Linked DNA regions of Canis lupus familiaris. The protein of the gene in region 1 interacts with the protein of each later gene in a pairwise test. Links are inferred from orthologs where the notes say so. Each region holds a gene or a part of one and is shown in the gene's direction. Other genes may lie near its edges.

Region 1 (5,069 bases):
GAGAAACAGCGCATCCCGCCCGCAACCGGGTGGACCGAGACAGGTGGCAGGACCGGGCACTGTGCCTTCCTGAGTCCACCTTAGAACAGGACAGGAATTAGGGATTCCATACCAGCCCTACTTAGAACAATCCAAGAAATGTTTGTGTGGGAGGTGCTAGCAAAAGCTTGCAAACTCTCCGCGCCTCTCTCAGGTTTCTTTGTGTGGTCTTCTCTCCTTCCTCCTCCACACCCTGCGGTGCCAGGCCCAGGCGGGAAAGGATAAAGGAGGAATGGACTGCCTCGCCCCTTTCTCCAGCCTGGGAGGAGCCAGCTGGCGGCGTCTCGGGCAACCGGGAACCGCTGCCCACCTCCACCACGAGGGGTCAGCAGAGTGTTGTGGCTGCAGCCGGAGTTGGGGAAGGGGCTGGGGCGGGGGAGGGACGGCTAGGAGTGGCCAGAAGAATGCCTGTACGTTTGTTTCCTCATTAAATTGTTTATAGAACCTTGTCTCATATTTCTTTTTCTACTGTCTTGCTTCCTGAGGTGGAGACGTCTCCAGAGGGAGATCCTGGAACCCTTTTATCCCTAGTCTCGGGCCCAGAAGCTCCGCAGTGGCGGGGCTGGGGTCTTCCGGAACAAAGTTTAGAGTGTGGCTTCTTGCCTGGGCCACTCCCAGGTAGTCCCCGGGCCAGCCCGGAGGTAGAGCTGGCGGGCGGGAGGGGGCGACGGGGTGAATCATTCTTCCCCTGAAAAGTGTTGGGAGTTCTGGGAGACGGGGAGCTCGGCCAGGATTGGGGGACCTATGCCCTTAGCAGCCGGGTCTCTTTGCCAGGCGGCCCTAGACCAAACCCAGGTCGCCTTTCCTCGGGTCTGCGCCCTCCAGCTGCCACGTGCTCGAGACGCGCCCACACAGCAGAGAAACAAAGACAGCCAAGCGATGGAGCTGCCAGTAGCCGCCTCGACATTTAATAAATGAAATTCCATAGCTGTGGGTCGATCGGGGGTGAATGGGCGGCCACCGCTCCTGGGGGTGGGGGTGGGGGGCGCCGGGAAGAGCGGCCAGGCCGCTCCATTACGTCGTCCAGCCTGGGGCTACCAAGCCCACAGACTGGCTTCTCGGTGTGGGTGCGGCACCGTGCGGCAGGTGGTGCTCCCCCACCGCGAGGTACCTTCGCTTGCAGAAGCCCCGCCAGCTGAGCGGCTGGCTGTGGGGGGAGGAGAGGCCTGCAAAAAGATTTTTCTTAAAGGTGCGATTATAAATATACCCCGTGGATCGCGATTTCAAACAAACTTGTCAATCTGGGCTGCAGCAAAAGGCGATAGAGGCAGCTTTGCTTGTATTTCGGGTGGTGTGACTCATGAGCATTACTTGTCTCCCCCAGGGAAGCAGCCTGCCCACCCACAAGCCACTGCTGTTCTGGCACCGCTGGGATAAAATCGACCAACTCCCAAACCCCTGCCCAAGGACTCCCCTTCTCCCCCTTGTTACTGAGAAGGGCTCCCTGCCCCTTGGGAATCTTCCCTTAATTCCGGTCACCACTGACCTGGCCCCCAGGCCTGGTCCTGGCCACCCGGGCCCTGGCCCCAGAAGCAAAGCGCTCTGGCATTTTGCTGCTGCAGGGATGGGGGCTGGGTGCACGCGGGGCACACGTGTATGGGGGAGCATGCTCAGTGCAGGGGTGCACCCACGTGCCGCCTGCGCCTCCGCTTCCTGTCCCCCCCCCCCCCCATTGCCGTCTCCGTGTGAAGTCTAGGAAGAAAGGCCACCATAAGAAAAGGTCCCTGTATGTTATATGCACACGCCCTGGACACACAAACCTGCAGTGGCCCAGAAACACCGTGGAGGTATACAAGACGAATGCAGAGTGGATATTACTGCCCACAGGCACAGTGGTCACCCCTCGGGAGGCCTTTAAAAACTGCCCAGATTCTTTCCTCTCGGGACGGCAGCATGGATGAGGTATAGATGTATTTTTAGCTGGGAGGCAGGGGTACACCTGGGCGTCCATATTGTTGGCTTTGTGCGTAAGCAGCAAGGGTGTGACCACACACACCTGGACACACAGATGTGGATATATGGGGGGCCAGGTCGCACACCTCGCCTCAGCCACACAGAGGCGGGCACCCCAAACCACAGCGCTCTGACGAGGAAGGGGGCCTGGGCCTCTAGCTCCTTCCTCTCTTCCCGGGTCCCCCAAGGGTCACCGTCCCCGGGCCTGAGCCCCTCGGGCTACCCTCCACCTGGAAAGCGAAGAGGAGAGGGCTGCGCGGGGAACTCACACAGCCGCGGGGCCGGAGAGCGAGGGAGGCGAGGCCCGGCGCGCAGGCGACGCTGCCCTCTAGGGCCTGCAGCGCGGCGGCCGCGGCCCCTTTAAGCACCCCCGCCCCCTCCCGCCCGCGCTCCCGGCTTCCTTTCTCCGGGAGGCGCGGCCCGCAGGGCCCGGCGGCGGGGCGGGTTGCGGGCTGCCCCTCCCCCGGTGGGCAGGGCCTGCGCCGCTTCCTGCAGGAGCGGCCCGGAGCCGCGCAGGGGGCGGAGAGAGCGAGCGGCGGCAGGGCGGCGCGGGGCGGCGCGGGGCGGAGGGCGCCGGAGGGCGAGCGGGCAGGCGGGCACGGCGGGTTCCGGGCCAGCCCCGGGGGCGGACGGTTGGCCGGGCGCGCGGAGCCTAGCCGGGGCCTTGCCGGAGCCGGGCCGGGCAGCAGAGGCAGCCGCCGCCCGGGCCCGCCGCCCGCGCCCCCCACGCTGGCCCAGAGGGCTGCGGCCGCGTCGCCGCTGAGGATGTCCCGGAAGGGGCCGCGGGCGGAGGTGTGTGCGGACTGCAGCGCCCCGGGTGAGCAAGGCCGGGCCGGGGGCGGGACCGCGACCGCGACTGCGACCGCGACCGCGCTGCGAGGCCGCCGGGCGGGCGCCGGGCCTGGCGAGAGCGCCGTGCGGGGCCGGAGGGCGGGGCGCGGGGCTGGGGGCTGCGGCCTCGGCCCCCGCCCGGGCCACTGCGGAGCCGCGTCCTTGGCGGGAGGGCCGGCTGGGGGGCCCCGGTGCCCTCGCGTCCGCGGACGGGCGGGGAAGGACATTGCCGGCGCCACCCCGGAGTCTGAGGGAGGCAGGCGGCTGGCTGCCCCCCGCCCCCATCTCTACCTCCCGACGGAAGCGCCAGCCTGGGGTGGCAGGAGGGCTGTGGCGGAGGCCCGCAAGGTTCAGGAGGTGGGGGCGAGTGGGGTTTCGTGTCAGCTCGGTGCCACCCCCGCGTCTTGCACCTGCTGCTCGCATGGTCTGGGCGCCCGCTGAGGTGGCGGAGGTCAAGGGGCAGAAAGCTGGGCAGATGGGCCAGGGGAGGCTGGGGTAGTGTTTCTTTGGGAGCAGATGGGGGCGGGGGGGGGGTGGAGAGGCGGTAGCTACTCCGAGGACTGCCTGCCCCTGGTTCCCAAGGCCGGGGCTACTTGCAGGGCCTGGTGTTGAGGGCCAGTACAGCCTGGGCATCTTTCTCTCAGGCATCCCCAGGCTGCCTGGTGCCTGGGAGCCACTAGACTCAGCTATTCTTATGCCCCAGTAAGGTCTGCTTAACCCCGTCAGGTGGGCTTAGCATTGTCCCAGCTTGGGCACAGACCCCTCCTAGCCCTGTGTAGCCCAGTCTGGCCAGAAGTGGGGAAGGAGCAGTAGTACCCAGGATATCGCTGGCTTCCTGGCCAGCCTCCTGGCTGTATTTACCCTGGTGTTTTCCTTCTCCCCGGCACAGTCAGGTCCAGGCTGATGTGAAACCCCCCTGACCAGCTGAGGAAGTGAGGAGTGGTGACCTGAGTGGCTGCTACCTTCTGATGTGGGAGGACCGTGCCAGTGATGGGGCTCAGCAGTTGGCCTGGGGAAGGAAGCCGTGGCTTTTGTCCATCCTCTCCTTAAAATAAAGAAGCTAACTCCCTAGGAGACCTCTGGGCAGGCTCAGGGTGTCTCTGAATTCCAGGGGGACTGTGGGCATAATTAAACATGAGAGTGTGAGGTGCTGTTCCATGCACCCATAACTTTGAGCCACCCTTAGGACAGGCCTAAGACCCCAACAGGTTGAGAACCACAGATACTCCAGTGGTTCCGATGGCTCCAAGCTCAAGTGTTTGGTGACTGTGGATGCCTGGCAGAGGCATGGTACTCCGTGGGTGGTTGCGACCCTGGGACTTCTCTCAGGGCGTGTCATGATCTAGAGGGCCTTCAAGAAGCTATCTGGGCTTACATATCCTTATCCTAATGAGCTGGAAACGGTGATCTTCTTCTAGCCGCATGCAGGTCTGAGGATGGAAGGGCCAAGAGGAGGAGAGCTTGCCTTCTGTGGGTGTCCCAGACTGTTGTGTAAACCTCTGCAAGGCGGGCATAGCATAGGGGTGAGGGTGGAAGGTCCAGAAGGACTGGGGGGAGGGTGCTTCTGTCAGCTTACTCTGTGACCCATGGCAGGGCTCTTCCTCAGTTTTCTCAATTGTGAAGCAAAGAAATTGGGAGTAGAAATGGTTTTTGAAGACCATCCCATCTTCAAGTCTGTGGTTCTCATTCTCAGCCAAAGGGACATAGGACAGAATCAGCAAGGTAGTTCTCCTTTCTCCACTGGATTTGACAGTCTGAAACCTATGGATGCCTAATGGGTTTGGGGAGGAGTGATGTGTATCTGATGTCTTGGATTGCTCGTGCCCCAGGTACCTCCTTTTCCCCTGACCCAGAATACATGTCAGGAATAGGCAGGGGGTAAGGATGGTGAGATAGGCAGGGTGCTGGCAAAGTCTTACACATCACCCTACCCCAGCACCTGGCATGGTGTCTAGCACATGTCGAGCCTCCCTGAGTGTTTAGATGCTTATCAGGACCCCAGCTGGCTACTTGGGGCTCCCCCATTCCCCACCATAGGACCCAATCTCTGTGGGACCCAAGGAGTGGCATTCTCAGTGTGGGAACTATAGCAGCCCAGGTACAACAAGGCTTGAGGGTGATCAACAGTTGGGATATAGGCACATGCCTCCTACCCAGTCATAGGCTTCTCTCACTATGAATGGGGTTCCAGCCCTAGAAGTGGGGCTGTGGCCTTTTTGTGGTTGGTTAATTTGAGGAGACCATAG
Region 2 (5,080 bases), on another chromosome or scaffold:
GTATTTGGGAGCAGGGGCAGTATGGTGTGTACTTCCAATAATTACTTTTTAAAGATCCATTCTTTTTAAAATTTGGTTTGGGGGCATCTGGGTGGCTCAGCGGTTGAGAGTCTTTCTTTGGCTCAGGTCTGGATACCAGGGTCGTGGGATCGAGTCCCGCATCAGGCTCCCCAGAAGGAGCTTGCTTCTCCCTCTGCCTATGTCTCTGCCTCTCTGTCTCTCATGAATAAATAAATTAAATCTTTAAAAATAAATAAAATTTGGTTTTGGTAACCAAGTCATGCCTAATGCATTTATGCATCTAAAAAAAATTTAATTGGTACAGATAAAGCACAAGTGACCCCCGACCTCCCTTTGACATTCTAGTGTATAAACCTTCCTGACATTGGATGCATTTAGATACCTAAATATAAATGTGTGGAAAGAACATTTTGTAGTTCAAAAAAAATAAAAGGGGACACCTGGGTGGCTCAGCAGTTGAGCATCTGCCTTTGGCTCTGGACGTGTTCCCGGAGTCCCGGGATTGAGTCCCACATCCGGCTTCCTGCATGGAGCCTGCTTCTGCCTCTGCCTGTGTCTCTGCCTCTCTCTCCGTCTCTCATGAATAAATGAAGTCTTTAAAAAAAGAAAAGAGATCATATTGAATATATTTCCCCAAATTTTTATCCTAAAAAATCTGTAGACATACGGAAAAGTTGAAAGAACTATATCAGGAACACCTACACATACACTTACCACCTAGCTTCTCCAATTCTTAACATTTTGCTTTATTTATCAGACATTTATTATCCATCAACTATCTTATCTCTTGATATGTTTCAAGTAAATTACAGACCGCCCTGCCCCTCACCCTGAAACACTTCACATACACATTAGAATTCAATTTTTTTTTAAAGATTTTATTTACTCAGAGTGAGTATTTATTCACTCAGAGTGAGAGAGAGAGAGAGTGCACATGAGCAGGGGCAGAGGGAGAGGGAGAAGCAAACTCCCCCCTGAGCAGGGAGCCCAATGTGGGGCTCCATTCCAGGACTCTGGGATCATGACCTGGGCCGAAGGCAGACGCTGAACTGACTGAGCCATCCAGGCACCCCTAGAGTTCAATATTTTTTAAGTCAAACTTACACACTGTCAAATGTATTTTTGCATTTTTCCAACATCCTGCTTTCTACATCCTACATCCTATCCTTCTGCTTAATAACATCCTCCCTAAGCTCATGTCTGCCCTTCCTTTTTTTAACGCAGGCACAACCCCGTTGCAGAGAGGTACCCCCATCAACGCCCACACCATATCCCCCTTTAATGGACGTTTAGGTGGTTTCAAGATGTTCACCCAGATGACGCGCGCATCCCCTCCCGTGTTGCCAACGACCTTCCTCGCTCTTGCCTCTTGGGGTTCTTGCACGCATTGCTCTCCGAGAGCTACCGAGGAAGGACATTGTTTGAACAAAGAGATAGGCCCCTTCTAAATTCGAACAGATCTCGCTAACGTGTCCCCAGGTCTCCGGGAAATCCCAGGAACAGCGCACATTCCGCACACCTTTGTCAGCACGGGACAGTACCGGTCATTCGCTCTGCAGCCCGCCGGACGGGTAAGGAAGGGACAGGCAGGCAAGGCGGCTGGAACCGAGAGGGCAGGTGCAGCCTGCACAGGCGGGGACACGGGGCGCGGAGAGCGCGGAGCCCGGAGGCGCCCTCATTAACACTCTCTCTCATTAGCGCGCGGGCTCGGGGGCACCCCGACTCCCCTAGCCACCCCGCGACCCCGCGACCCCGCGACCCCGCGGGAGACACGGCGGGGCCGCCGCAGGGGCGTGTCCTTCCACAGGACCCGCCCCCTCTGCGTGCGCACGTCGGGCCGCCCTCGCGCCGCCCGCAGGGCTGCGGCGGCCGCGGCGCTTCGCTGAGTCGCTGACGGACGCGCGGACGCGGTGACTGACGGCCGGCCGAGCGGACCCGAGGCCGGTGAGTGGTCTGCGCCCTCCCAGGCGCTCCTCCGGGCTCCGCGGCGCGTCCGGACGGCCCGGAGCTGAGCCGGGCGGGCGGCGGCGGGACGCTGCGACCCGGGCGCCGGCCTGAGGGAGAGCCGGCGGGCCGGGACGGGGGGCGGCCGGAAACGGGATGAGCGGGGAGGGCGCCGCGCTGAGACTCCCTGCTCGCTCCCGGCCGCCGGGGCGGGCGGGTGAGGCCCGAGCGGCCCGTCCGCCTTGGGCTCCGTTGGGCCCGGCCCCTCGCGGCGTCACGAGTGCGCTGGGCTGGGTGACCCCGGGGGCGTCGCGTGCCGACTCGGCGTGCCCGGCGGGGGCTGCGGCCTCCGACCCCCGCGAGGACCCCGGCCTGTCCCGGGCGCCCGGTGGTCCGAGCCCCGCGTGGTGGCGGCTGCGGGCTCCGCGCTTCCTCCTGACTCACCTCAGTAGGAAGGGCGTTTTGAGTCACTGTGGTGACTTCATGAGTGACCCGCCGCCGCCGGGAAGGAGGGACGGACGGTTGGTCCGGGCGGGGACTTCACCAGTCACTTCGTCTGCCCGCTGCCGTAGGTGTATTAATTGCCAGGGGTTGCCAGGACCGCCTTGTACAAGGCCTGCCTGTGTCGTGCTGTGAAGTGGATCCTGGCAGTTCGTGTTCATGGCCTTGAGCCCGACGAGACGGTGTGGGATTGGGAAAACAAACACAACAAACACACACCGTGTAGCGCTCTGCAGTTCGCTGCCAGCCCCCGCCAGAACCCGGCGGGGCTCAGTGTGTCTGCCTTCAGCTCCGGGCGTGACCCGGGGTCTCGGGATCGAGTCCCACGTCAGGCTCCCTGCATGGAGCCTGCTTGTGTGTCTGCTTGTGTCTCTGCCTCTCTCTCTCTCTCTCTCTCTCTGTGTCTCTCATGCATAAATAAATAAAATCTTTTTTAAAAAAATGGAATTAATGATGAGGCTTGGGTGAAATGACTTCACCTGCATCCCACAACTGGGAAGAGGCCACAGATGGTCTTTTTTTTTTTTAAGATTTTATTTATTTATTCATGAGAGACACAGAGAAAGAGAGAGAGAGAGGCAGAGACACAGGGAGAGGGAAAAGCAGGCCCCACGCAGGGAGTCCGATGTGGGACTCGATCCCAGGACTCCAGGATCACGCCCTCGGCCAAAGGCAGGTGCCAGACTGCTGAGCCACCCAGGGATCCCCAAGGCCACAGATGGCCTTGATCCTGGTCATCCGCCTGCAGATCTGTGATCTTTCCCAAACAATGTCGTAGAGATTGGAAATGGATTATGTCCTTTAAACTCTCTTCCCTGGGATCCCTACTCTAGAAATGACAATACCAAACGTGAAAATGAGTTACAGAAAGTATTCATTGCCTTTAGGTTACCCCTTATCGAGTGTTGAAATGCAAAATTGGACAGCTGGGGCCTTTGAGCTACCTTGATTTTTTTGTTTGTTTGTTTCCTTTTAATTTGTTTCTAAGATTTTATTAATTTATTCATTCATGGGAGACAGAGAGAGAGAGGTAGAGACACTGGCAGAGGGAGAAGCAGACACCCTGCAGGGAGCCCAATGTGGGACTCGATACCAGGACCCCAGAATCACGCCCTGGGCCAAAGGCAGGCACTAAACCACTGAGCCACCCAGGCTGCCCTGGTTTCCTTTTAATAGGTGATTCTCTTGATAAGACAGTTGAGCTCTGCATCAGTATTGCACCAAAACTATAATATCACTTCTTCAGGAGAGAGGTATTTTTGAAAAATTGGAATTGTGGGGTACCTGGGTGAGTCATTCGATTAAGTGTCTGCTTTTACTTCAGGTCATGATACCCGGATCCTGGGGATCCAGCCTCACTTCAGGCTTCCTGCTCAGTTGGGGCTCTGATTCTTTCTCGGCCCCTCCCCCTATTCATGCTCCGTGGCTCCCTCTCTCAAATAAAATCTTAAAAAAAAAAAAGAAAAGGAAAAAGAAAATTGGAATTGTGTATTTATTGTAAAGTTGAGAATTCAGCTTAACGCCGTGGAGACAAAAGAGATGAAAAATTTGAACTGTAAATTACCTCCTGGTATGTTATTGGCCATAATTAACTAAAAAGTTATAAATAAATATTTAGAGCAATCTTGTTTTCTTATAGTAATCAGTGAGAGAATTAAGAGCTCTGGATTACATCTTTTGTGTTCAACAGAGTGAGAGTTATGTGCTTTTTAACTAAATTATCTAATTCAGTTTGTGCAAAAACAGGATGAAATGTTGTCATTTCACTGTGTGTTGACATCACACTCCCAATTAGATGGGGTTACTAAGTAGTGTTTCCAAGGCCCCTCTAAATCCCGCACTCTCACCAGTGTTTTGGCTTACGTACTATATTTAAATTTTGTTGTTTGAATGATTTCTCAGGATATTTTTGCAGTACTGAGAAGCAGTACCATTACTGATTAATTTTGGGGAGGAAGAGAGGGACAGAGAGAAAACTATAAGGGAGGGGAATCTTGGAACAGTTACTGTAATGGCTTATACGAATGCCTTTTTTTTTTTTTTTTTTTTTTTTTTTTTTTTTATGATAGGCACACAGTGAGAGAGAGAGAGGCAGAGACACAGGCAGAGGGAGAAGCAGGCTCCATGCACCGGGAGCCCGATGTGGGATTCGATCCCGGGTCTCCAGGATCGCGCCCTGGGCCAAAGGCAGGTGCCAAACCGCTGCGCCACCCAGGGATCCCCCTTTTTTTTTTTTTTTTTTAATACTGGAAGAGATTTCACTCTGGGGACCACTCAGGTGCTCTGTAATGTTCAGTGTACGGTTTACTTCTCTACATTGATTCTCTTTATTTACCATAATATGTTATTTCCCATTGTATTACATATTTTTTAAAAATATTTTATTTATTTATTAATGAGAGACACAGAGAGGGAGAGAGGCAGAGATACAGGCAGAGGGAGAAGCAGGCTCCATGCAGGGAGCCGGACGTGGGACTCCATCCTGGGTCTCCAAGATCAGGCCCTGGGCTGAAGGTGGCGCCAAACTGCTGAGCAACCCCCCCCCCCCCCCCAGGCCTCCCTGTATTACACATTTTTTTTTTTTTAAGATTTTATTTATTTATTAGAGACAGAG
Region 3 (4,633 bases), on another chromosome or scaffold:
AGAGGCAGAGACACAGGCAGAGGGAGAAGCAGGCTCCATGCAGGGAGCCCGATGTGGGACTTGATACCGGGAACCCAGGATCATGCCCTGGGCCAAGGGCAGGCATTAAACTGCTGAGCCACCCAGGGATCCATACAATTTCATTATTGAGCACTCCATATTTGCAAATTCATCTGGTTGCTAAAATTTACTTGTAACCCTCGAAACCTATACTGATCCTTTCACAGTCACTCATGGACATGCACAGAATAATGACAATTCTGGGTCACTACACTTACCTGTTCCCAGCTGAGGTTGAGCAGGCGACACTGCTCTCATACTGTAAGCCAGTGTCCTTTTCATAGTATATTCAATGCTACACTTTTTACATTCTTGTGCTTTTTGGTGATTTTTCCATTTAAAATGGCCCTCAATGGGCGGCCCGGGTGGTTCAGCGGTTTAGCGCCACCTTCAGCCCAGGGTGTGGACCCTGGGACCCCGGGGTCAGGACCTGAGCCAAAGGCAGACGCTTAAGCACTGAGTCACCCAGGCGGCCCTGTCTAAAGGTTTTTGATATTCCTCCCTTCAAGAGGGGTCACAAGAGACCCTGACTTAGAATCACACGGCTACACTGTTGCTAGATTTCCTCGGGAACGGTACCAGATGTTTACTGTTTTCGATCAGCTCAGTTGTGTGACAACTTGTTACCCTGCAATAAATAATAGATCAACTATTTGTGATGACCAAACTGACACCCTCGAGACCTCCCAGCCCAGGCAGGCAACACGTCCCATCTGTTGCCTCAGGAAACGACACTTGGTACCCCGATTTCCCCGACCGGAATCCTCGGACAGCACTCCGGCTCCTGCCCTGCTGCAGGCTCTTTCCTCCCGAGGACGTCTACTGACGCCTGGAGCCCCAGGCTGGGAGGAGGCACCCGGTCTGTAGTACCGGAGGGTGGGGGGCCGCCCTGGGCAGAAGGCGGGGAGGGGCAAGCCAGACCGGGACGGGCTCCTGCTGCGTCCTCCTGCGGCAGTGCTCACCTCCAGGCCACCCGCAAGGGCGCAGGCTCTTCCCCCGCGTCTCGGGCATCCCTCCACGTTCCCAGCCTCACCTGCCGCCCGCCCGTCTGGCCTTCGTCCCAAGAGCCGAGGGGTCTTTCAAACGCACATCCGAGTGAGACCCCAGCACTCTGCGGACCAGCGTGTGTCAAAGGCTTCCCCTCGCGCTGACAATCAAGCGGACCTCGGGCCTGTCCCCGGCGCCTGCACGGCCGGAGCTCGCCCAACGCCCTGACCTGCCCCGCGGCCCCTGCCCCGCCTCCTTCCCGCTACCCAACCTGTCCCGCCAGCCTGGCGCGGGCTGCTGCCCGGAGGTCTCCGCCGAGCGCTCGCCCTCGTTTCGGCCGCTATTCACGACGCTTCTCTGGGACGGCTTTTCCCCGCCCACCAGGCGAGCGGTCGGAGCGTTCCCTTGTGCAGGGCCTTGTCCTAGCATCCTGAGCGGTGCCTGCAACGCAGTAGGTGGCGCGAGAACACGGCCCCGGGGGCCCCTTCGGAGCCTGCGCTGGGTCCCAGCGGCCGCTGCGAGGCCTGAGCCTGCAGTCCCCGCCTCCGCCCGCCCATCTCCCAGCCCCGCCGCCGCCCCCCATAGCCCCGCCCCCCGCCCCGTCCCGTCCGTGCCCAGCGGAACTCGGCGCCGCAGCCGCGTTGCCGGAGGAGGTTGTTCGGCGGGAAGCTCGGGCGCTGCGCGGTCTTCCGCGGCGAGGGCGGCGCATGGCGGTGAGCGGTGCCCAGTGAGCGCGGGGGCGCCGGGGTCCCGCCGCGCGCGGCCCGCTTTGACCCTGGCGCTGCCCCTTTCCTCCAGGCCCGAGACGCAGCAGCGGCCGCAAGCCCAGGCGCCGCCCGCACGCCCCGCAGCCCCCGGGCCCCTGGGTCGCCGCCCGGCGCCGCGAGTCCTTCCGCCGTGAGGCCCCCCGCAGCCCGCCTCGGCTCCGGGCCCCCCGCCGGCCGTGACGCCGCCCCCGGGGGCCGCCCCGAGCAACGTGGGGGCGACGGAGCGGCCAAGAACCAGAAGAAGAAGAAAAACCGGAACGGGGCCCCCGTGGCGCGTGGCGGCGGGAAGGACCCAGAGGAGCCGGCCCCAGAGGAAGCGCCCCGGAGCGCGGAGGCTCAGGCACGCGCGGGCCTCGGTCGGGAAGGGCGGGCGCGCGGGGGGGCGAGGGCGTGGCGGCCGCCGCGGGGCTCGCGGGTGCCCGTGGGGTGGGGCCGCGGGCCCCGGCGCCCTGCCGCCGCCTCACGGCCGCTCTCCTCGCTGCGTCGCAGGAGGAGCAGCTGGCCCGGGAGCTGGCTTGGTGCGTGGAGCAGCTGGAGCTGGGCCTCAGGACGCGGAGACCGAGTCCGAAACAGAGTGAGGGGTCCTTCGGGGCGGGGGGGCCGCGGGGGCCGTCAGCGGGATGGAGGCGGTTACTAGGCCTCTCTTGCTGCGGGCAGGAGAGCAGGCCGCTGGGGCGATCCGGAGCCTGCGCAGCGACAGCACCCCCCTGCCGCGGAAGAGGCAGCTGATGCGCTCCTTGTTCGGGGACTACAGGGCTCGCATGGAGGCCGAGCGGCGCGACGCCCTGCGGGCGCTCAGGGCAGGTGAGGAAGCCGGTGGTCCCAGGCGGTGCGGAGAAAGGGCCTAGGGGGTGACAGGACCGGAGGAACCCAGAGTGACAGGGCTGGTGGGGGTGGGTCGGCTCAGAGGCCTGAGGGCGCTGGGAGAGGAAAGGCTGGGGCCCTGCGAGGGATGGGGAGGGGCGGTGAGAGGGATGGGGGAGGGGCGGTGAGAGAAGCTGGAGCACCCTCCTACTGACTATGCGCCAGGGGAGAGAGGTTGGGTCTCCTGACGCTGAGACCGTGACTGAGCCCACATGGAGTCGGAAGCTTAACTGAGCCACTCAGGGTGCCGGTCTTAGTGATTCTGGGTGGGGTTTGATGCCAACACCTACCCTCAGATTTTGAGGAATGAATCCGTTGATTTGCCCCAAGAGATTCGAGGTGAATGGCCAGGGTAATGTTAGCGGTTACTACTCTGTTACGACACTTTCTGTCGCCTCCCCCACAGCGGCCCGCGCGGCTCAGGTGCAGCCTGTAGGTGAGGCCACCAGAAAGAAGAGCGGAAGGGTCTGCAGGCCTCGCCAGGCAGGTGTAGCCAAGGCCACCCAGGATACCCCTGATGAAGAGTTCAGGTTCAATTTCTTTTAGCCTGACTTCCATGCTGGAACACTTCCCCTGCCTGGGTGGTGTGGGGGTTTGTCTTGTGTGGAGCCTCTCCGGGAATGCTCTGCTGGACAGACGTGAGGTTAGTCCGTTCGTGGCTGCCCAGTGGATCTGGTGCCATGGCTGTGGGACGGATGTGGAACCAGCCTATTGGGTACTGTCAGATAAGCACAAGACCGTTTGTAAGTTTTCAGATGAAATGTCCATCCCGCGACAAGAAGGATGTCTGTTTAGGAAACTTCTACAATAAACTGAAGTGAGTGTTCAGCATATTGTAGAAAGAATGTTGCACTTCATCTTTAGGCTGAGGTTAGGCAGCTGTTTGTAATAAGGACCGCGGAGGAAGCTATAGAACTGTACACTGGTGCTCACTTATAAAAGAACTTTGTGTCAAATGGTGTAGTGCTTTATATCATAATATCATGTTGCTCTAATAAAACTATTTTTTGTAAAAATGGATCAATGAATTCATGTGCTAACGTCTGTTAAATAAATACAGAAGAGGCAGGTGTCTGTCCTGGCTGGGTTCTAGGCTCACCAGGGTGCTTGGTCCTTTGTTTTACCTTCATTCCTGAGCATGTGTCCTCCCTAGGGAGCCAGTGTAGCTCCCAGAAGGCCAAGCTTTCTTCTTAGGAGCAGAGAGCTTCTTGTCCTAACAATCCTGGCCGAAGACCTGAGTTGACCCTCAGTAGATGACCTCTCCGGACCTTGGCTGCTGCAGGAGATACTCCCAGGACTTCCTTTGCTTGGAATCAGGTGGCCTTTTCCCCCTCTTCAATTGTGGTGCTGTCCTTTGCTCGTGTCTCCCAAGCTTGCATCCCAGCCTGCCTGCTCAGCATTTCTACTTTGATGTTTCATGAGCATTTCAAACTTGACGTGTCCAAAACATTTGATTGGTCCCTAAATCTTCCTTTGTCTTCTGCTTTTGAGTTAATAGCTATACTGCTCACCTAGTTGATTAGGCCAAAGACCTGTGTTATCCTTTCTTGCTTTCCTCCCACACATGTGTTCTGATAGGAGGTTTGTCTGCAAACTAAATCTATGATATTTGGAGCTTTCTCTTTGCTGCTCGGCATACTAGTCCTGGCCCTGGCTCTTCCCCTGACTGCTGTGTGAGCCTCCAGGGGTTTGTATCCATACATCACTCTTGCCTCTTGTGTGTTCAATGCAGCCAGTGATTCTGCACGTATATTGAGTCCTGTTTCTCTGACCTAGTGACTTTATTGTACTTTAGATATGTGAAAGGTCCCATTTGGGGCCTGCACACTTTTAGGCTCCTGACCACTTCTCTGATGTGGCCCCCTTTTCTTGTTCCTACCTTGCTGACTTGTCTGTTCCTGAGATAATCAAATCAATCCTTCCTCAAGGGCTTCAATCCTGATATCACTAAAAGT
Region 4 (4,937 bases), on another chromosome or scaffold:
TCCAAATGTTTTTTTTTTTTTTTTCCTTTCCATAATGAACTACATGTCTGTTCTCTTTAGTAGTAACTGCAGATTTTACCCTACATGTCAACTACTGGCTGCTCAGGGCACGAAGTTAAACTAGCTCCAATTTCCTTTTGGCAGTTCTAATGCAAAGCTCGGAGAGTATCTGTAGCCTAATCAATACCTTGCTGTGAGTCTTACTTTGTACTTAAATGCTTGATGGGGAAACCATCTGAATATTCCACTGTACGGCTCTGATACCTGAAATCAAGGAGTGAATTGTGTTGAGGTCATCGACTGTGGACCTTCTCCGTTTGTCCTTCCCACTCAAAAACACTTAAAGCCGGCCTTCGCACAGATGATTTTTGAACAATCACCAAATTATGCAAGTAAACCCTTCACGTCTTCTTCTCCTCCCTCCCCCACTTTGCAAGTTATTAAGTGTTCTGGTAAATTCTCAGCCAAGAATGACTCATGAGGAAACCCTGCATCCTTGCACTCCCAGGACGAGGATGGCTCTGGCGCATCACAGTTTCCACGTCTTGGTGTTTCCCTCCGTCTCCTCGTGAGGAGAGCTGGGACTTCTCTGTCCTGGAAGGAGAAGCAACCAAGGATTTCGGAGAAAAAGCTTTGCAACCCCACGGGAAGACCCAATCACGCAGGTTGCGGGGAGCAAGGCTGCACACCCTCTTAAAACACGGCCGTCGGATAAAGTCCCTTTCTCCGGTTCCTTCCCTGCTTACCGTTCAGTCCCCGCAGGGTTCCGGGTTGCCCCCCCCCACCCCACCCCCCGGCCGCGCGGGGGTCGCTGCCCCCGCCCCTGCCCCACCCCCGCCCCCGTCCCCCGCGCCCCCGCCCCGGCCCCCCCGCCCCTGCCCCACTCCCCTGCCCCACCCCCGCCCCCGTCCCCCGCGCCCCCGCCCCGGCCCCCCCTGCCCCTGCTCCTTCCCCCACCTGACCCTGACCCTGCCCCACTCCCCTGCCCCCACCCCGGCCCCCCCGCCCCTGCCCCTGCCCTCCCGCCCCCTCCCCTGACCCTGTCCCCCCTGCCCTGCCCCCCCGCCCCTGCCCCCCGCCCCCTCCCCCTGCCCCCCTCCGCCCCTACCCCCCTCGCTCCCGCCCCCGCCCCCGCCCCGCCCCTCCCTTTCATCTTTTCCTCCCCTCCCAACTCAACGGAGTCGCACAGCGGAAGAGGGGAGGGTCTCCCCGCGGCCTGTTTGCAAGAAATGAGGCGTGGGAAGAGGGCGCGCTCTCCAAAAAACAAGGGCGGGGGGTTGGAAAACATCTTAACTCAAAATAAAGCACTTGCACCCCGGTCCGCTCCCAGCAGCCTCTCCCCGCCGGAGCCTGCACCCCTCCAGGGCCGGGAGCGCCCCCTCCCGTCGTCCCGTCGTCCCGTCGTCCCGTGGCCGGGGCGCGGCTGGCGGCGAGGCGTCCCGGTCCGATCCCACACGCAACCCCGCGAGCCGCCGCGAGGGCCCGAGCGCGCACGGAGCCGGAGCCGGAGCCGGAGCCGGAGCCGGAGCCCGAGCCCCGGACGTCAGCCCACCTCGCTTCGAGAGCCTTCGGCGGCGCCCGTGACCGCCGCGGGCCGGGCCGCCCGCCCCCGCGCCCGGGTGCAGCCGACCAATCGGTGCCCTCGGGGGGCGGGCCCGGCGGCGGAGGCCCCGCCCCCTCCCCGCCGCCGCCCATAAAGGCGGCGCCCGCGCCCCGCCGCGCAGAGCTGCGGCCCCGGCAGGCGGTGGACGATGCAAAGTGCCATGTTCCTGGCCGTCCAGCACGACTGCGGATCCATGGACAAGAGCTCGAGCAACAGCCCCAAGCACGAGGAGAAGCGGGAAAAGATGAAGCGGACCCTGTGAGTACGGCCCTCGGGCGCCCGCCCCGCGCTGCGCACCTGGCGCTCCGGGTTTGCTGCGAACGTGATGACGTTAGGAAACCCTGCGACCCGCGCCTCTGCAGGGAAAAGCAAAAATGTGGAAGAGGGCAATTAGCTAAGTAAGGTTCAATCTGTGTGCGTGAGCCAAGGACTCTCGGGTAGTTTAGGACTGAGAGCATGTTAGATAGGGAGGCGGTGGTGATGAGGAGGATGAGGAGGCTAAGACCTCGCAGGTTGGCTTTGTGGCCCCTGCGTCTAAGGTAGCAGCCGAGGATCCTGGGGCCGAAGCACATCCCCAGCACTGGTGCCTTGCATTATAAGTTCTGATCAGCTTGCACAGCTTCCGGATTGGAATATTTTGGCTGGTTCTGAACATACTCGTTTTAAAATCGCTTTTTTTTTTTTTGACTGAATTGCTTAATTCACCCACTAAAGATTGTGCAGCAAATCATCGTTATGCATCATCTGCTTAAAATGAGTGTTGTAGTTGGGCTGGGGCAGGGGAACTCAGTCTCTCTCTCTCTCTCTCTCTCTCTCTCTCTCGGACACACATACACCCCCTGCCTCATGGCTTCTGGAGTGGTCCAGAGCCTCTTGCTCTAAGGGTAGGAGGGAAATGAACACCCACTGGCTCCAAGCAGTTCCAGTGTTAGGTTTCTTCAAGTGTGAAATGTCTCAGAATTGTAATCAAGGCTGCAGAAAAACTGCGGTCTTTTGTGGGTCAGAAATTGCATCTGTCTTTTTGAAATATGCCATCTAAATTCATTTAAATGTCCTAGGTAGACTTACCCTTGGTTATGAGAGTAGTACTTCTGCTCAGATGAAGGGATGAAACTAATTGCGTTAAGCACGTAGGTGCTAGGTTTAAATGTAAAATGAGTAAGACTGACTTGAAGATTCTTGTTGCTACTGGGTGGCTTTATTTGGTAAAAATGCCTTCAGCTGCCACAGCAATTTCAAACGTTGTCACTTAGTGAATATCTTTTTTTTTTTTCTTTTTAAGATTAAAAGATTGGAAGACCCGTTTGAGCTACTTCTTACAAAATTCGTCGTCTCCTGGGAAGCCCAAAAATGGCAAGAAAAGCAAACAGCAAACCTTCATCAAGTAAGTTGAAAAATCTTGTATTTGCGAACATGAATAGCTAGCTGCTGAGCTGAAAAGAGGAATTCTGATGTGCACGAGCTAATGAGCAGACCTTCTTTTGCAGGCCTTCTCCTGAGGAAGCACAGCTGTGGTCAGAAGCGTTTGATGAGCTGCTAGCCAGTAAATGTAAGTTAACCTTTTGAATTTGATCCATTTCACAAGATATCACAAATATCACAAGAGTCCACAAAGGTGTTCACAACAGAAAAGCAGATTGCTCAAGGGGAATTCAAATTTGCAATCACTAAAGATCTAATGCCTATTTTTCTCCTTTATTTCCTGTTTAACCATAGAAATACATGGTTTCTTCACTGTAGATAGGGAAGGAAAAGTAGCCCAAATTGTAGGGGCAGTTGCTCTTCCTTAAGGTTGAATTGAATCAGCTTTTTCCATTGCATACAAGGTTTCCAGGAGGTTTGGAGCCCGGAGAATTTAGGTTCCCCTCTAAATATTTGCATTAAAAGCAAAGTTAAGTATATTTTGTAGCAGTGTGCCAGCTTATGCATTTTGCCTATTAGCATCTTAGTCTTTAAAAGGCTAAATTCTGAGGGTTACAAGTTTGAGTGAAATATAGAAAATTGCCATCATTTAGAAATAATAAAATATAGGGATGGGAGAATGGTAGTTCTGGAAAAATTTTAAGGCATTAATTGGTCACCCAATTTACATTCTGCATGTTTTTTCCCCCCTTTCTTCCTCCCCAGATGGTCTTGCTGCATTCAGGGCTTTTTTAAAATCTGAGTTTTGTGAAGAAAATATTGAGTTCTGGCTGGCCTGCGAAGACTTCAAAAAAACCAAGTCACCCCAAAAGCTGTCCTCCAAAGCAAGGAAAATATATACTGATTTCATAGAAAAAGAAGCACCTAAAGAGGTAAGGGGGGCAAAAAAAGAACTTCAATTCAGCATATTTTGAATATTCTTAGCACCAAAATGAAACAAAAAGACATTAAATTAAAGGGGGGAGGGACAAGATTGTTTCAAGAAACTAATTCTAGTTTTTAATTCGCTTAATTTCATTTCTTCAATGACTTGGCTAATGAAGCTCATCACACATTATAGTTTTTGCTGCTTGTTTTCAACGATTAAATAGGTATCAGTCCCTAGCTTTGAATATGGAATAAACCCCTTTTTTTTTATAATTTCAGATAAACATAGACTTTCAAACCAAAACTCTGATTGCCCAAAACATACAAGAAGCTACAAGTGGCTGCTTTACAACCGCCCAGAAAAGGGTCTACAGCTTGATGGAGAACAACTCTTATCCCCGTTTCTTGGAGTCAGAATTCTATCAGGACTTGTGTAAAAAGCCACAGATCGCCACAGAGCCCCATGCTACATGAGACGAAAAGGGGAGCCCAAGAGTGGAGGACATTTCATTTTGTTCCTAAGGGGAAAGGCTGCGACCTTCCAAAAAGACTGACCTTGAATTTAGCCTGGGTGTTCAGGAAACATCACTCAGAACTATTGATTCAGAGTTAGTGAATCAGGAAGCTGGTGACTGTGTAGGAGAAGCTTGTGTTGGGACGGCTCCCATAGCTCTGTCTAGAACCCAGGGAGAAGGTGGTCCAAATGTGGTGTGTCTCACTCACACTGGAAAGGCAGGAATGGGAGACCCAAAGGTCTGATGTGACACTGTTGGTCCAAACACATTTAAAATCAATAGGTCTGGGATTATGTGGCCTTAGCTAGCTGGCTGTATATCTTTCCCTAATTCAGTCCATTACCACATAGTGGTTTTAGTTTTAGTTATTTAGAATAAGTAATATTAAAATGTTTACTGTGTGCAAGGGTGTTGAAGTTCATACGACTACAGATCATCAGTACTGTTGTCTCCTGTAACACTAAAACTGAAATGGTCTGTTTGAATTGTTAAGTGTTAGAACAGAACGAGTGCTGTTGTGTAGGAAACTA

Evidence for each region.
Region 2: the proteins of GIT1 (region 1) and HMOX2 interact in a two-hybrid assay, tested with the Homo sapiens proteins (2 studies listed by BioGRID and IntAct). The link is inferred for Canis lupus familiaris from reciprocal best matches to the Homo sapiens genes GIT1 and HMOX2.
Region 3: the proteins of GIT1 (region 1) and C13H8orf33 interact in a two-hybrid assay, tested with the Homo sapiens proteins (2 studies listed by BioGRID and IntAct). The link is inferred for Canis lupus familiaris from reciprocal best matches to the Homo sapiens genes GIT1 and C8orf33.
Region 4: the proteins of GIT1 (region 1) and RGS2 interact in a two-hybrid assay, tested with the Homo sapiens proteins (2 studies listed by BioGRID and IntAct). The link is inferred for Canis lupus familiaris from reciprocal best matches to the Homo sapiens genes GIT1 and RGS2.

Annotation. Positions count from the first base shown.
Region 1 is NC_049230.1:43,661,199-43,666,267, reverse strand, and holds the start of GIT1 (ARF GTPase-activating protein GIT1), read left to right. Parts: upstream 1-1,729; 5' UTR 1,730-1,774; coding exon 1,775-1,826; coding exon of another isoform or gene 1,827-1,990; exon of another isoform or gene 1,991-2,312; intron 2,313-2,679; exon of another isoform or gene 2,680-2,757; coding exon of another isoform or gene 2,758-2,809; intron 2,810-5,069. Other genes in the region: uncharacterized protein LOC119876655, read right to left, coding at 947-1,205, 1,800-1,990. UniProt on the Homo sapiens protein: GTPase-activating protein for ADP ribosylation factor family members, including ARF1.
Region 2 is NC_049227.1:37,202,398-37,207,477, reverse strand, and holds the start of HMOX2 (heme oxygenase 2), read left to right. Parts: upstream 1-1,845; 5' UTR 1,846-1,965; intron 1,966-5,080.
Region 3 is NC_049234.1:38,970,496-38,975,128, forward strand, and holds C13H8orf33 (UPF0488 protein C8orf33 homolog), read left to right. Parts: upstream 1-1,754; coding exon 1,755-1,760; intron 1,761-1,845; coding exon 1,846-2,154; intron 2,155-2,303; coding exon 2,304-2,388; intron 2,389-2,471; coding exon 2,472-2,618; intron 2,619-3,084; coding exon 3,085-3,224; 3' UTR 3,225-3,698; downstream 3,699-4,633.
Region 4 is NC_049259.1:6,817,917-6,822,853, reverse strand, and holds the start of RGS2 (regulator of G-protein signaling 2), read left to right. Parts: upstream 1-1,702; 5' UTR 1,703-1,751; coding exon 1,752-1,861; intron 1,862-2,885; coding exon 2,886-2,987; intron 2,988-3,090; coding exon 3,091-3,152; intron 3,153-3,730; coding exon 3,731-3,897; intron 3,898-4,171; coding exon 4,172-4,366; 3' UTR 4,367-4,937. Other genes in the region: protein SPT2 homolog, read right to left, coding at 441-594, 1,295-1,695. UniProt on the Homo sapiens protein: Regulates G protein-coupled receptor signaling cascades. Inhibits signal transduction by increasing the GTPase activity of G protein alpha subunits, thereby driving them into their inactive GDP-bound form.